Struthio camelus: one gene and its partner. The protein of the gene in region 2 purifies or fractionates together with the protein of the main gene of each other region. This does not show direct contact. Links are inferred from orthologs where the notes say so. Each region holds a gene or a part of one and is shown on either strand. Other genes may lie near its edges.

Evidence for each region.
Region 1: the proteins of CDK13 (region 2) and CCNK purify together in Homo sapiens (affinity purification with mass spectrometry; 4 studies listed by BioGRID and IntAct, counting the BioPlex papers as one, with this or other methods). This does not show direct contact. The link is inferred for Struthio camelus from reciprocal best matches to the Homo sapiens genes CDK13 and CCNK.

The regions. Positions count from the first base shown.
Region 1 is NC_090946.1:69,598,505-69,605,839, forward strand, and holds the start of CCNK (cyclin-K), read left to right. Parts: upstream 1-4,233; 5' UTR 4,234-4,347; intron 4,348-4,937; exon of another isoform or gene 4,938-5,085; intron 5,086-5,322; 5' UTR 5,323-5,584; intron 5,585-7,335. UniProt on the Homo sapiens protein: Regulatory subunit of cyclin-dependent kinases that mediates activation of target kinases.
Region 2 is NC_090943.1:58,322,944-58,330,354, reverse strand, and holds the start of CDK13 (cyclin-dependent kinase 13), read right to left. Parts: upstream 3,051-7,411; 5' UTR 2,898-3,050; coding exon 1,663-2,897; intron 1-1,662. UniProt on the Homo sapiens protein: Cyclin-dependent kinase which displays CTD kinase activity and is required for RNA splicing.

The DNA of each region.
Region 1 (7,335 bases), on a different chromosome or scaffold from region 2:
TTCCCCACACCACCACCCACTCTTGAGTGCTTCACTGGGGCAGGAAACAGAGTGCACCTTGGTTACCATTTATTCCCCTGCAGCCCTTCCCCATAATTCATATCCTCTTAAATTATCATCAATATAGGCACGCTGAGTGAGATCCAGCACATGGGAAGTACTGGACCTATGATGCAGGTTCCTTGGAAGAGGAAACCCACAGAAGATATCCTGTTTCCACTCTGCTAAAATAACAGTACATGAAGACTTGGGCACTAGTGTTATAAAGCATTAAAAATTTTCAAAGGAAGATTCTGCTATTTCTATTAGCTGCTTATTAAGACATACATGCAATGTTTGCACTGAAAGAGTTTTAATTTTTTGGGGAGTTGCATATTTCCATCGCTATCATACCCTACAATGTATTTGCTCTCATGCCCTACATATTATATAACATATAATATACATATAAAAATGTATGTGTATATATAATTTATAAAATATATTTTTAAAAAAATCTAGAAATTGACCTACATGCAAAAGAACCAAAGTGCTAGCACAAGAGCCCCAGAGATGCACTCTCCTTTCAGGCGCAGGTTGCTGGCACTCTAGCAGAAACAACTGCAAAGCAGCTAATTATAGCTGGTACATTTACAGTCCATCTTCAGTTACAAAGACAGTTTTGGCCTACATTAACACATTGGCTGAAAGCCATGGTAGTTCAAGCACAGTCATTCAGTCACTTCCAGCAGAGGTCCTTCAGAAATATTGAGAAGACATCAGAGAGTAAAACATAACAGGAAGTAGATACTAATCTGTCATCCCATGCATTTGACAGGGTTTAACAGCCTTGGGCTCAAAAATCCTTCTGAAATGTAGAAGAATCAAATTAGAAGTTCCATTTTCTTTTTTATTAGGACATCAGCAGCTAGAGGCTCAGAAACTCACCTTCCACCTTAACAGTGTATCACCTAGACCTGGCCAACTTTGAGGCATCTAAACACCTGTTCCCACGTATTCACTGGAGATAAAACTGAACTCAAAGTCACTCACATCTCAACACGCTTCAAAGAAAGACAACATGGAATTTTTCCTGCATCTGACAGATACTCTGCTCTAACCTGCATAACAGATCCCAGAAATGAAAACAAGATTTTAGTGCTACCTCTTCAGCATTCCAAAGAGTAAGGTACAGAAAAGTTAGCAGCAGAACTGCTGAACAGCATAGGAAAAGGGGTAAAGGACAGACAGGAACAGAACAACTGGAATAGTCAGTTGGTGGAAGAGATGTAGGGAAGAGCCAATGTAGGACAGAGGAGCTAAAAACAGAAAAAGGGAGCAAAGAAGGTTATGGCAGAGGAAGGGCAAGAGCAAGAACGTAAAGCAATGTAAAAATACTCGAGCACTAAACTTGTTTTTAATTACTACAATATAAGCTTCTTCACAGACTAAAACAGACAACACTAATGGGGCACTTTTACGGTAATATCAAAAACTCCTGCTGTGCTTTATTTATAGATTTGACTGGTCCTTTCACATAGTTTACACTTCATTTTTGCCTAAGATATTTTTAAACCTCTGAAATCAGATCTAGGAAGCTGAAGTACCTCTAAACTTAGTTGACAAAGGACAGTCAGAACTAAGTTCAGAATCCCGTTTACTGTACCATCAGTAAACAGAAGCTGTACCATCATAGGTTCACTAATATTATCGCAAGTCTAAAGCATCTGGAAAAAAGGTAAGTTAGCACTACTGCTGTACGCGCTGCACGCAACTACTCCGAAAAGAGCAAACTGTATTAAACCATTTCGATTTTAGGTGAAAGAAAAAATATATCATAAAAATATTACTATGATAAACAGCCAAGCCATAGAGTAATATCAAAAATAGTTACTAAAATTAGCTCAATGTTTATTTGATCCACTTATAAATTCCACCTATTTTACCAAATTCAGCTAGTTATCGGGAAGCAACTTCCAAAGACATTGAGTCTTATAATTAGAATCAAAGAACACTGTCTTGACAATACTTTGACCTGGCATGCTCAAAACACTCTTAAAACTACTAGAAAAGTAGGAAATGCGATCACTAGAGAGTCCGACATTATTTCTTTCACTTCTCTTGAACCTGATTAAATACTAAAACCAGAACTGCCTCAAATTAAGTATAAACTTCTGGTAAGAAACTCTTATATGGTAAATAACACAAAATGCTAAAGGGGTAAAGAAGAGTGGCAATATATAAGGCATCCAAAGACATGCTTTTGTATGTCAAACACTCTCACTTACCAGCTTGCTAATCCTGAACTGATTAATACCTAAAAATATGAGTTTTTTTCCCCGTTGTTCCACTGAAGCTTACTGTCTTCAGCAGGAGGAATGCTTCTTACTGTAAACACTTCCCTGAAGATCAGCGAAAGAGAGTTTATTAGCTGCCACACAGGCAACAGTTCAGGCTCTCTCTCTCAACGATTAATAACCTTTCCACATCCCTTATGAACCAGCTCCTTAGACATCTCTTTGACCAGAAGAGTAAAAATATTTACTCTGTACGAAAAAAAAAAAGCTGAAAACAATAAATAGACAGGCTAAACTCCCACTACTTTGCCATCCTACTCTTGTCATTTCATTTTTTACTTGAGTTTAGCTCTTTCTGAAGACTCCCACATAGTTTTTTCCAAATTCCTTTCTTTAAAGTAAAAAGAATGAAAACTGATGCACTCTCTTTTTATTCATATATTTTTAAATATAGTCTTCACTTATAAAATATTAATCTCACTTTATAAATCTAAAACTCACAACTGAGAATCAAGCAAGTCACCCTGGTTCAGACATCAGGGCACAGACAGAACTTGCAAAACAGCCCAGGCCTCCAAAAAGACTTGTTGCTTAACACACCGGCATCATATGTCCTACCTTACTTTACCAAGTGCTGAACATTATGATGTTTTGGTAGCAAAAATACAGATCCCCTGAGATCTCTAATACCCTCAGACTGTCTCTTTCTTTTAAAGAATCACCACCAAAACACTCATCTTCTGCAAAATACCCAATACATCAGTTGCACTGTATGAGCAGTATCATTATGGTGAAATATTATACCTAAGTTCATTGCATTAATTACAATAAAAATGTCACGAAGACGTTCACTTTTCTATACAGAGGGACATAATGGGTTTTATTTTTAAAGTATGTACAATATCACAACTAGAAGCCTATTTAAAAATTTAGATCCAACTTCGGCATATAGCTCAGACCATCCCTAACTGGAAACAGCAATATACAGATTACAAATTATTTCAGGGCTTAAGCTTCTCCCTCCCTTGCCAAGACCCTAGATCTATCTGTACGGGTGCCATGACAAGGATGTATTTTTCAGATTTTATTTCAACACATACTTCAATCCAGCTAGCTAAACATAACTGAAACCTCCATTAAAGTGAAAGCTAGCATGCTTGAATCTTTACCATATTAAATAACCTAACTGAGCACAAATATCTGAAAATACCGTCCTCTTTTGGCCCATCATGCTATTCTCTCTAACAACTTCTACACCTGCTTACTATTTTATACATAAACAAGATATCAGACATGTAGAACGCTACAGCCTCTTACTCATGTACAGTAGTTTCAAAATGCTTTATTTTGAACTGCCACTCTAACGTAGAGGTTAGGAAATTGTTCAGAACTAGAGACACATGCAAAATACAGCCTCAACTTAAGCAACTCTATACAAGTCCTGCTCCGAGTAGGAAAGGAAGATGAGGAACAGTTTCAATACAAGTTCTGTTTCAGCAACTTCTGTAGTAATATGGAGAGGTTGCAAAACCCAGGCTGTTGCAGGAGTAATTCCCACTCAGATAAGCAGTTTGAATCATATTTGGCCTAAATGTAAAACGTTTATTCTAATTTTAAGTCACTTTTTTTCCTATTAGGTTTAGCCCCTTTATAAAAGCAAGTTCCAGATTGCGTGAGAAAAAGAAACAAAATAGAGTGCTCTTTCACTGCCATGGAAAGGCACTAAAGAATCGCATACCAGCAGAACTGTTACTGAGCCAGATCCTGAGAACTGGAGGTATGGGAGGCTTTGGAAAGCTAGAGAAGTAGGAGTAGCGAGTATTCAAAATGTGTCACATGTAAAAAAAGGAATTACATCATGGAGAAAGCAGTTTTAAGCCATTTGTTTAACTCCGCTTTCTTATCAACGCCTGGGGGATGGGACAAGGGAAACGAGCATTAAGAAGTGAATGCCACTGCCTCAACTCACTCTGAAATCACGCCGCTCGGGTTTAAACAAAACCCACCCACGTCGGAGCAGAAGAGCAAACAGGCAGTGGGCCGCGGAGAGCACGCCAATCTCCGCTGGCAAGTAAGTGGGAGAGAGAAACAGGATGACGAGTGGGAGCCGCGAGGCGGAGCGGCGTCACCCCGCTCCCCGCGGCGGGCGGCACGGAGGCTGCCTCGCCCCCGACGGGCGGGCCGGCCGGCCGGCCGGTGCTGCCCCGCGAGCGAGGGGGGGGCGCGGCGCGTGGGCGCGCGGCGGCTAACGGCCGGCTAACGGCCGCCCGCGAGGGCGCGAGTGGGCGCCCAGCCTGCCCGCCACGGCGAGGCGGGGGCTGCCACGGAGCCGAGCGCGCGGGGCAGGGGGGAAACGCCGCGGGGAGAGCGCCTGGGGACAGCGCCGTGACGGGAGCGAAGGGGGCGGCGAGGCCTGGGCCGGCGCTGCGCGCCCCGCGGCGGGGAGGAGGGTGTCCGGAAAGAGTTGCGCGTCCCACAGGAAGGGGAAGCGGCGGGGCGGGCGGCGGGGCGAGGTTCCTCCGGGGGCCGAGGGAAGGCGCCGCTCCCCGCCGGGAGGGGGTCCGGGCCGGGGGCAACGGGATTGGGGCGGGGGGGAGTTGGTGGCCAGCGCTGGCCTCCCACTCAGCGGGCGGGGGGGCGCCGGGCGGGGCCCCGCCTTACCTCCCGCCCGGCGGCGGCTGTGCCTCGCCCGCTGCGAGCGGCGCCGAAGCCGAGCTCCTCTCACCGGACACCGCTGCCGGGGGCGGGCGGCGGCGGCCGAGCTAGCCCGAGCCCCGCACTCCCAGCGCCCGGCCCCGCCCGCGGCCCCGCCCCGCCCTCCGCCGCCGCCATTGGCCCAGCCGGGCCGACAAGGAAGACCCCGCCCCCTCCGAGGCCCGTAGCGGCCAATCCCCAGCGACCACCCCTTCGCCTTCGCTACCGGTCTTGGAAAAGGGCATGGCTGCTTCCCTCCCATTGGCTGCAGTTTAATCCGTGCCTCCGGCTTCTTACTGGCTGGCTCGGCTTGCAATCTTCTCGCTCCTGCTTTCTGATTGGTCATTCTAAGGCTACGGGAGCGCGTCGCGTGCCTCCTCCTCGAGCTTCGCAGACGCTGAAGGAGACGGGATTGGCTGCGGGGGCTGCTGGCTCTCATTGGCCGTTAGACGGCAGCGGCTCGGCGCTTGCGCGCTATGCCCTCGTGACGTCGGCGTGATGACGCAGAGAGCGGCCTGGCCTGGTTCCCAAGATGGCGGCGCGCAGGGAGCGGAGGCCGCGCTGTCGTTAGTGGCTCTGCGCTCCTGTGGGGTTTCCTCTCCTGTGCGTGGCCTGTGAGTGCGTTACGGGGCGCGGGGGGGGGGGCACCGGGGCGGCCCGCCTTCTCCGCGCCGTGGCCTGGGGGGCCTGGCTGGGGAGGAAGAGAAAGCAACGGGGAGGCTGCAGTGTCTGGCCGGGACAGGGAGCGAGCGCCCGCCCGGGCTCCGGAGGCCTCGTCTGCGGCGGGAGGAGCACCGGGGGGGCCGGGAGGAGCTGCCCCCACCCGGCCTGGGGGCTGCCGAGGCTGGGCGCTGTCAACTAGTTTGTTCAGAGAAGAAGAACAGAACAAAAAAAAAACTGAATCTTCTCTCTAAAGTCTTTTCACCTTTACGAGGTGGTAAAGAAAAATCTCAGGCCCCGTGTTATTTTGCTTTTGATTATTGTGGTCTTAATTGGAGAGTTTGAGGTGATTGCTTGGAATTCGCCTTTAGGGGTTTTAATATTTTGCCTGTTTGTTTTTTACAGATTTTCATTTGGGGATGGTTTTAGTGCTCATAAAAGCAGCTCTCTCGTTGCTTTTCAGAAAGGGAGTTTTAATGTTAGTTGAGCTTTAAACTACTTAGAACTTTAAGCATCAAAACGAACTTTGAAGAAAATGGTCTCCAAAACTTGCGGAAATAATACTTGATAATGGCAATGGGAGCGCGTGGTGATGCCACTGAACTGTTTTGCTGACTCTAGAAATGCTTTCAAGTAGCTATTCACTTATTTGTGACAGAGGTTGGGTTGATCTGTCACTAGTAAGACAGTGGAGGGTCTCCATATGTGAATACGGAGCAAAGGTGGTTTCCTTTGTTCTGAAAAAGAGAAACTTTCTGAAGGTAGAGAAAGGTATTTATTGTAGGCATAGGTATTCTGACTGTTCATGTAGTTTTCTTTTACTTTTGCGAGGGAAACATTTGGAAAATTAAGCTTAGCTTAATTTTAACAGCTTTACATTTGAGTCTTTCTTGGATTGTTATGCTTAGAGCAGTAAATTATATCGTCTGTTAATTAACATTCCCTACAGGAACCTTTGCAGGTGACTACAGTAGTTTGTGAGTAGTATCTCTAGTTTATTGAATTGCAGTAAAATAGTCTTATCCCTGTTTTCTAGTCTGAAAGAGATAAAGGTGCGAAGACAGTCTTCATTCTCTCTTTTAAGTGAGACATACGTGAACATCGGTCATAACCTAAATGCCAACAAGTTATCTGTGGAGCTGTATGCTGTCAATATAGATTTGTGATGTACAAGTCAGCACAGGAAAATAACATACTAATTGAGTGTAATCAGTTGCCTCATTTTGGAGGTGGTTTTAGATGGCACAGTACCATACAGACTCACATTACTGGTCTTGATCTTTATTTTTTTTCCTTTTTTTTCTTTAAATAACATACACACACAATTTACAAAGCTTTATGCCGAATTATTGCCACCATCTTACCACCCAGATATATCCAAGAGATCAACTATGTGTTTAAATTGCCATTCAGCCGGACCTAATGGATGGGTTTCTTAGTTATTGAACAATGGTCTGAATTAAAATTTTATTTTTTTACCACTTCAAATCTTGCTGTTACCATCATTGAATTGTTTTTCCTTATTTTGTGGACAAAGTAAGTGAAATTTGTACTGCTAAAAATAAGTGTTTTTAATAGTGTACTTTTGAATTTCTTTATTAAAGGGTTACTATCAAAGATGACCTTTGTTCTTTGAATTGAATTCCCAATATATGGGGGAGATAAGGGAGAGGTTAAGTATGACTTGTCTTTGAGAAGGGATAAA
Region 2 (7,411 bases):
CTACTACAGCACTATTAGCCACTGTTCAAGGCAGGATCCCAGAACAACTGGACCATCAGTCTGACTAACATGGCTATTCTTGAGTGCAAACTTCACACGCCACAGTTTGGCTCGTCGTCGTTATCATACCTATTCCAAGACAAAAGGATCTAATGAAAACATCCTGGAAATCAGACTATTTTGTCAGAATATTCCCGTAACATTCCTGCTATTCTGCTATTCAAATCATCTTGAAAAAAGGATCCTTGGCTACTTGTAACAGGCTCTCATGGAACAGCAACAAAAAACCGCTCTTTTTCGGGGCACTCACAGTATTTTCTGCTTGAAACACCTTATTGTTTACAAAATTATTCCATACAAGCGTACCTCAAAACAATCACGGTCTTTTGCAAAGGCACCTTTGTTCTATCCCTCTGAACAAAGTAGGACGCAGTTTTGATACTTCTCTCTTTCAACAGCGTTTGATGCACACCCAGAACAGCAGACCTTACTGACCGTCAGTGAAACACAGAAACAGCTTCAGCATTCTCACTGGATACGCTGCGTGACACCCCAAATGGTAACTGATACAAAATTAGAAACACCAGACAACAGCTCTCATACAATCTACCAGGTAATACCTTTTAAACAAATTCTTGCCAGGGGAATGACAAAGCACCTTATACATTTCAAATCTAAGTTCACTTTAAGTTTACAAGTAAGCCTGTAAACAACATGGCAACAGTAAGATTCCAATAGGGGAAATAAAAGTCTCCCGTCAAGAACACATATTGACCAAAAGCAGTAAAATCACTGAGAATTTAAAGTTTAAAATAAAGTGCTTTAATTCTGCACCACTGTTTGTGTCTGATTATAGAGACAGAGTCCACGTTATTTGTTTTCTCTCTATACAACCTAAACAAGTCACAGCAATGCTGAACTTTACATTCTGAGTTCCCATTAACAGTAATAAAACTCTTTGCAAGGGCACGTCAAATACAACATGGACACAGTATATGTTATAGTAGTCTTTACCGAGAAAAGAGATTGTTATGTTTTTATAGGTAGCGTAAAGCACAAAGGCAATTTAACAAAACTTGACATTAGCTCCTTTTCCTGGCGAAACAAAGTCTAAACCTGTCTATAGACCTCTGAAGAACAAGAAACACTAGTAACGTGAATTGCTTCTCAGTTTGGTTCCTCTTTAGATTGGAGGGGATTAAACCAAGCACAAAAGTATTCAGCACGCATCCTTTTCCACAGTATATGTAAGAACGTACCTGGGAATCTCCACATTTTATAAAGAAAAATTAAAAAAAACAACACCGGTCCTTCAAAAACCTTGCCCTCCTAGAGTCGCTTTCCATTCAAGGCAGCGGTCTCATCTGAAAACGTTCTCTTATTGTTTAATGCTTTTAAAAGCATTTTCTTCAAGCTACATAGTCTCTAAGAGATAGAAATAGCTGCAGAAGAGCCTTGTGTCTCCCCTTCTCTCCAGGCAGGACAGGAAGACCTTTGTATGTGTCCCGGCCCCTTCCCCCGCCCAAGCTCTCTGGCAGCGAGAGGGCAAGAGGGAGGGCTTTTGTTGCTCCCTGCAAGTCTCTCCTCTGGCCCGGCCTGGGGCTCCCCCCTCCCCTCCTCTCCCCGCCGAGCCCCCCGCCCGCTCCCGCGCCCCGCACTCACCGGATGACAGGGCTGTAGGGGCTCCGCGACCGGCGCCAGCTGCTGTAGGGGCTGGGCGACACATCCCCGCCGCGCTCATAGGAGCTGTGCCGGCTGTAGCTGGGGGAGCGGCGGCGGCTGTAGGGGCTGAGAGGCGAGCGGCCGCCCACGGGGCTGAGCGACTTGCGGCTCCGCTGGCTCTGCGAGGAGCGGTGCAGCGGCGGGCTGTCGTCCCGGCCGGGGCTGGGCGAGGAGCGCTGCCGCCGGTAGGCCTTGGGCTCGGGCTTGTCGTCTCGGTAGGCCTTCGGCGGGTCCTTGTAGGCCGAGGGCGGCTCCTTGGCCGCTTTAGTCCGGCTCCGGTGCGCTTTGCTCTCCCGCTCTTTCCTGCCGCTGCCGGGGGAGGCGAGGGAGCCTTTCCTGCGGCCGTCGCTGCCGCCGCCGCCGCTACTGCTGCTCTTGAGTCCCTCCCGGTCCTGGCCCCCGGTGTGGTTGTGGCGGCTGCGGGACTTGGAGGAGGACGAGGAGGCCTCGGCTGCGCCGCGGCCCGCCGCCCCCTCCTGCTGCGGCTTCTCCTCCCCGCGCCGGCGGTGCTCGCGGTGCCGCTCCTTGGAGCGGCCGCTGCTGCCGCGGTGCTCCCGGCGGGAGCGGCTGCTCCTCTCCGACTCGCCCCGCTGGCGCTGGCTCCCGCCGCCGCCACCGCCGCCCGAGGAGGAGGCCGGGCTCCCCCCGCCGCTGCCCGCGCCGCCGGTGCCGGCCGCGCCGCTGCCCACCAGCCCTTCGGACTGGGAGCTCACGTCGTCGTACTCCTCCACCAGGGTGCTCAGCCCCCCGCTACCGCGCCGCTTCTCCGCCTCCTGGGTCCCGCCGCCGCCGCCCCCGCGGCCCCGCCGCCGCTTGTGCCGGGAGCCCGAGCGCCGCTTGCCCCGCGGCCGCTTCCGCTGCTCCCCCCCGTCCCCGCAGCAGGAGGAGGCGCCGGTGGCCGCCAGGAAGAGCAGGGACTGCGGCGGCAGCGGCGGCTGCAGGAGCGGGGGCTGCAGGAGGGGCGGCTGCAGGAGCGGGAAGAGCAGCGGGTGAGGGGCCGGCGGCGGGGGGGGAGGCTGCGGCTGGGCCGCGAAGCGCTTCCGTCTCCGGTGATGCAGCCGCTTCTTGTCGGCCGCCGCCTCCACCGCCGAGCTGCTGCTGCTCCCGCCGCCGCCGCTCGCCCAGCCCCGGCTTCCCCCGCTCCCGCCAGCCGCCGCGTCCGAGGTGCTCGGCATCGAGATCACTCAAGGCCGAGGACGAGGACGCGGCCTAGGGAATCCGCCGCCGCCGCCGCCGCCTCCTTCAGGGCGATGCCGGCGCCATGGAGACACGGCGCGGCGCAGACACACCGGGCCCCCGCCGGCCGCGGGGTCTCTCTCGCTCGCTCCCCTCGCTCGCTCCGCCGGGGCCCGGCCCGGCCCGCCTCGCAGCCCGCCCGCCCGCCCGGCGCCGCCTCACATGGGGCCGCGCCGCCTCATAAGGAGGTCGCGCTCGGGCCGGGGCGGCGGGCGGGGACCGGCCGGGGACGCGGCGGCGGCGGCGGCGCGGCGCCGAGGGGGCCGGACGGCGGGAGCTTGGCGTGGCCTCCCGCAATACGGAAGTGTCTGCTGGCGGCGGCCTGCTCACTCCATGCCGGGCCGCGGCTGCCTCGTCGTGCGCCGGGCGGCGCCGCCGCCGCGCGGGGAAGGGAGGGGGGGGGCGGCCGCCGGGTGCGGGCCGCGGGGCCGCCGCCGCCTCCTCCTCCTTCTCCTCCTCCCACAGCCTGGCCCTGGCCGGGCGGCGGGGTCAGGCCGTGTCAGGCCGCCTGGTGGCGGGGCGTCCGAGGCGACGCGGGGCCCTCCGCTCGTCCCCAATCCCCTTACCCTGCCCGGCGGGGCCCAGGGGCCCGGTCCCGCGTCACCGGCCGCCGGGAGCGCTCGCGCGGCCTCCGCGCTGCCTGCGGCTGACACACGCATACACACACCGGGGACACGGCCCGGCAGCGCGGCGCGCATGCGCGGGGGCCGGCGGCGAAGCGTGGGGGGGGGGAGGCGAATGGTGGGGGGGGCAGCCGCGCCTTCACCAATCCCGCTCGGGGCCGGCGCTCCCGCAGCCGGGAGGTAAGGCCAAGTCTCGCGAGAGCGCCGCGCCGCCCCTCCCCCCGCTTCCCCTCCCCGCCTCGCGCCGCGTCTCGCGGTAATGGCGGTGCGTGCGCTCCGCGGCGCGGTGGGGGGGGGGGGAAGGAGGGGAAGGGGCAGTTCCTGGCGCTGAGGTCAAAGGGCGCCGCGGCTCTTCCGGTGGCGGCGTTGCCATGGGCGACGCGGCGCGGGCCGCGGCCTGCCCCGCACCCCTGCGCCCGCTGCATCTTACGGTCAGCGGCGGGGGGAAACCCGGCTCCCACAGGCGGCCGTTGTAGGGCGGCCTGAGGGCCCCCCACTCCCGTCGCTGGCCGTGGGGATACAGCCGCCCCCTCCTTTCAAAAAAAAAAAGAGAGCTCCCGCTTGCCTTGCTCACCTTACAGAGGCACAGCAACCCCAGAGGGCAAAGGGCTAGGATTGAAGGGTGCAGCTGAAAATTCATGATGCTCATCAAGTCAGTCTGCAGCCCCACGCCTGCCCCACTAAAGTCATATGCACCATGATTTTATTCTTCATTTCGTTTTTTTGACTGAAAAGGGTCTGCCAAAGCCGTGGTAAAATACAAGTTGCCTAAAGAGACTATAATAATGTGTCGGAGGAAATGACATCGCTCAAGCTTTCCCACCTTCCCCAACTGGCACCGTTACCATCCTAAGCAGTCCTCATGGTTGGAGAAAAAAAAAACCATTAACAACATAAACAACTAAAAAAAGTGTCACTCTGAAGCTCCAAGAGTCACCACTCTTTCAAAACCCCTTGGAGCCAACTGTTGTGGATGGCATAGCAGGTTTGCAGGGGAGTGTATTACATAGAGAAGTCAAAACAATCTTAAGAGTTTTCTGCGCGTTTCTACGCTGAAAGACATAAAACACCTGAGAAAAACCAAAGTTCAGTAGAGGAGAACTATTTAAGTCTCTTTGGGAGTGAATTGTATTGCATGATAAAGCTTATTTCAGCTACAAATGTAAAGACTCCCCCGACATGTAGTGAGAGGCAACTCTAAATTTCCTACTAGCCAGCTCAGTCATAAATTGTACTACAACGTACAGAATGGTGAAGTGAGAGAGGAAAGAACAACTACAGATTTTCAGGCCCTTCCCTCAGATGTTTACTCTGAAAATTAAAAAAAAAAAACCCAACCAAACAGAAGAAAACTTACAGGTGATGGAGTAAATTATCTTTTCTCTTAGGTAAGGCAGCAGGTTAGAGACAGCGTTTAGTGATGCATGCAAGAAGAGGTAAACATACTGCAAAGAAAGGTTTCTTTCCTGTTAGCAAATTGCTTGGTCATTGCTACTGTTTGTGATCAGCAAAGTTGCTAAAGGCTTGTCGAAAGTGAATTTGTGTTGGAGTATTTTGTTCTCTCAGCAGTTCAGCTGAGAGTAGCAATAAGAGGAGACCTAATAAAATACTTGTGAGATACTGAGTTTGCTTAAGTTGTCGTGTGTGCAACTTTTTCATCATGCTTAGTCTGTGTATGAAAGCCTGCTTTGGTAGGAACTGCCCATGTCCCGTAAAGATGTTTCCAGGCTGCAAACACACGACTAGAGTTGATTCCCTGGGATATTCTCTTCGATAGCTCTTGCGACTGTGCGGTTCCACCACATTCCCTTTTCTGGAGGGAAAGAAAAATGCCTTTTTTACAGTGTGTGAAACTGCTTAAAGGGAATGCAGGAATGTAGGCTTTGGGGCGGGCTGGGGGAAGAAGATCACTGCAATATTTATCTGAACTTGTGAGCAGGGTGGGAGAACGTCAAAACCTGTGCTAGCTGCTGACAAAGTGTGTGATAAACCATTGTTATTTTTCCCCGTAGAAACCAGTGCACTACTGTTATGCAAACCTGCCATAAGTCTAAATGACTTAAGTGCTGGTGCATCATATTACTGAAGCAATTCAGAGCAGGTATTTCCTGGGTCTGACTGCTTTTAACAGCGAGAGGCATAAAGCAGATTTGGGATTGTCCTCTCTATTGTCTTTGTTTTACTTTAGAAGTCTATATACAGCAGAGAAACTCATATAAGCAGTTCTCCTTTTTCTGCATGTCATTAGTTCCACACAGTGACACCGATAATTCCCTATCAAAATTAAGGATTTGCATAATAACAAATTATGGTGAAAACAGTCTCCTACACATGTAAAATAAAGACTTTTTTTTTTTTCCCTTCAGCAAGATCGTGGGATTTGTACATTTTGTTCATCTACAGTACTCCTATAGAGTGGCCTAGTCACAGTAGGGCACAGGGATGCCCTTCACCCTTTCTGCTTTACCTATTAGTTCTCTAGGAGCCCAATCATCAAAGCAAATCCAGTGCATTCATCATGATCATGATTTAAACTGTTTCACAAGTGAGTACTGAACTAAAGACGGATTTTTATAAGGTGAAAGCCTACTTCTACACGGGCAATCATCTTTTCTAGTGTGACAGTTGAAACCAAGAACAGAATAAAATAGAGTTCGCTGTCTACTGTTGGCTGAGACGCTTGGGAAATTCCATAGTAATAAAGCTTTGGGTTGAGATCAAGCACACGTTTAACAGGGAGACAAAAGATCCTCATTTTAGAAACCCAGCTAGATATCTGTCTGTCCGATGTTTTGCTGGAAAAAGACAGTAATCCCACACTTCTAAAAGCAATTTTACTTAGCCTTTCTGTTTCTTTCCCCACCCGCAACACTGTTAAAGCGGCCGTCTGCAACAACTCGGTTCATCAGAGCCTGTTTTTGCCCTGTTTCAGCACACTTCCGTCACCTACGGCTCAGCCAGCACCTCAAACTGTAGCACAAGCTACCTCTTGGAGGTTCGCGTTGTCTGCTGGCTTGCATTTGGAAAACATACAGAGAAGCCCAAAGCGCAAGCAAATCCATGCAACTGTCAGCCTACAAGCCAAGCTTTCCAATCAGCAGAGTTGGGCTTGGCTCTCTCTTGCAACAGCGCAGAGGTTGGCTGAGACGCTGGAAAACTACTTAAATCCTTAGGCTAGAAGAGCCTAAACTCGAATCTTGGCTTGTTGCTCTTTCTTTACCCCGCGAAGCAGAACGGCACTCTGGCCTAACCCAGCCCTCAGGGTAGGGCTATCCTGCACTTTGCCCGCCTTACGCTTGGCATCAGCTTCGAGAGCAGAGAACGGCCACGCGAGGCGTTCAAGATTCAGTCAAACCAATTACGTCTCCTGCAATAACGCATGCGAAATTTTTGTAATGCTTAATGTTACGCAGGAGAGTTTTGCAAGGGTAAGTGATTTTTCACCTACTATTCTGACTTGCTTAAGTGAGCATAGGCACTGGAGGGGAGAAAAAAAAAAAGCACAATACAATCAAGGCAGGGTAACTGGGCAAACCTGAGAGAGCTCTGGAAAGCAGTGCACAGAAGTCTATGTCCAAGTGAATTTTCCTGGTTTTATTTTATGCGGGTCCTTATTATTAACTTGTAAGTATATGACCTCTACCTAGGCTAGAGCCTTAGATGAAAACACTCCTGCTGCAAGGCCTGCTTAACTGCAACACTAAAGCGATTTCATTACTTCCTGAAAAATAAACATTTTTCTGTTATCTTACGCTATTGAAACTAGTTTCAATTTTGCATATTTCTGTTTTTCCGCCAAACTTCTTGAGTGCTGATTTCAGACTCTAATG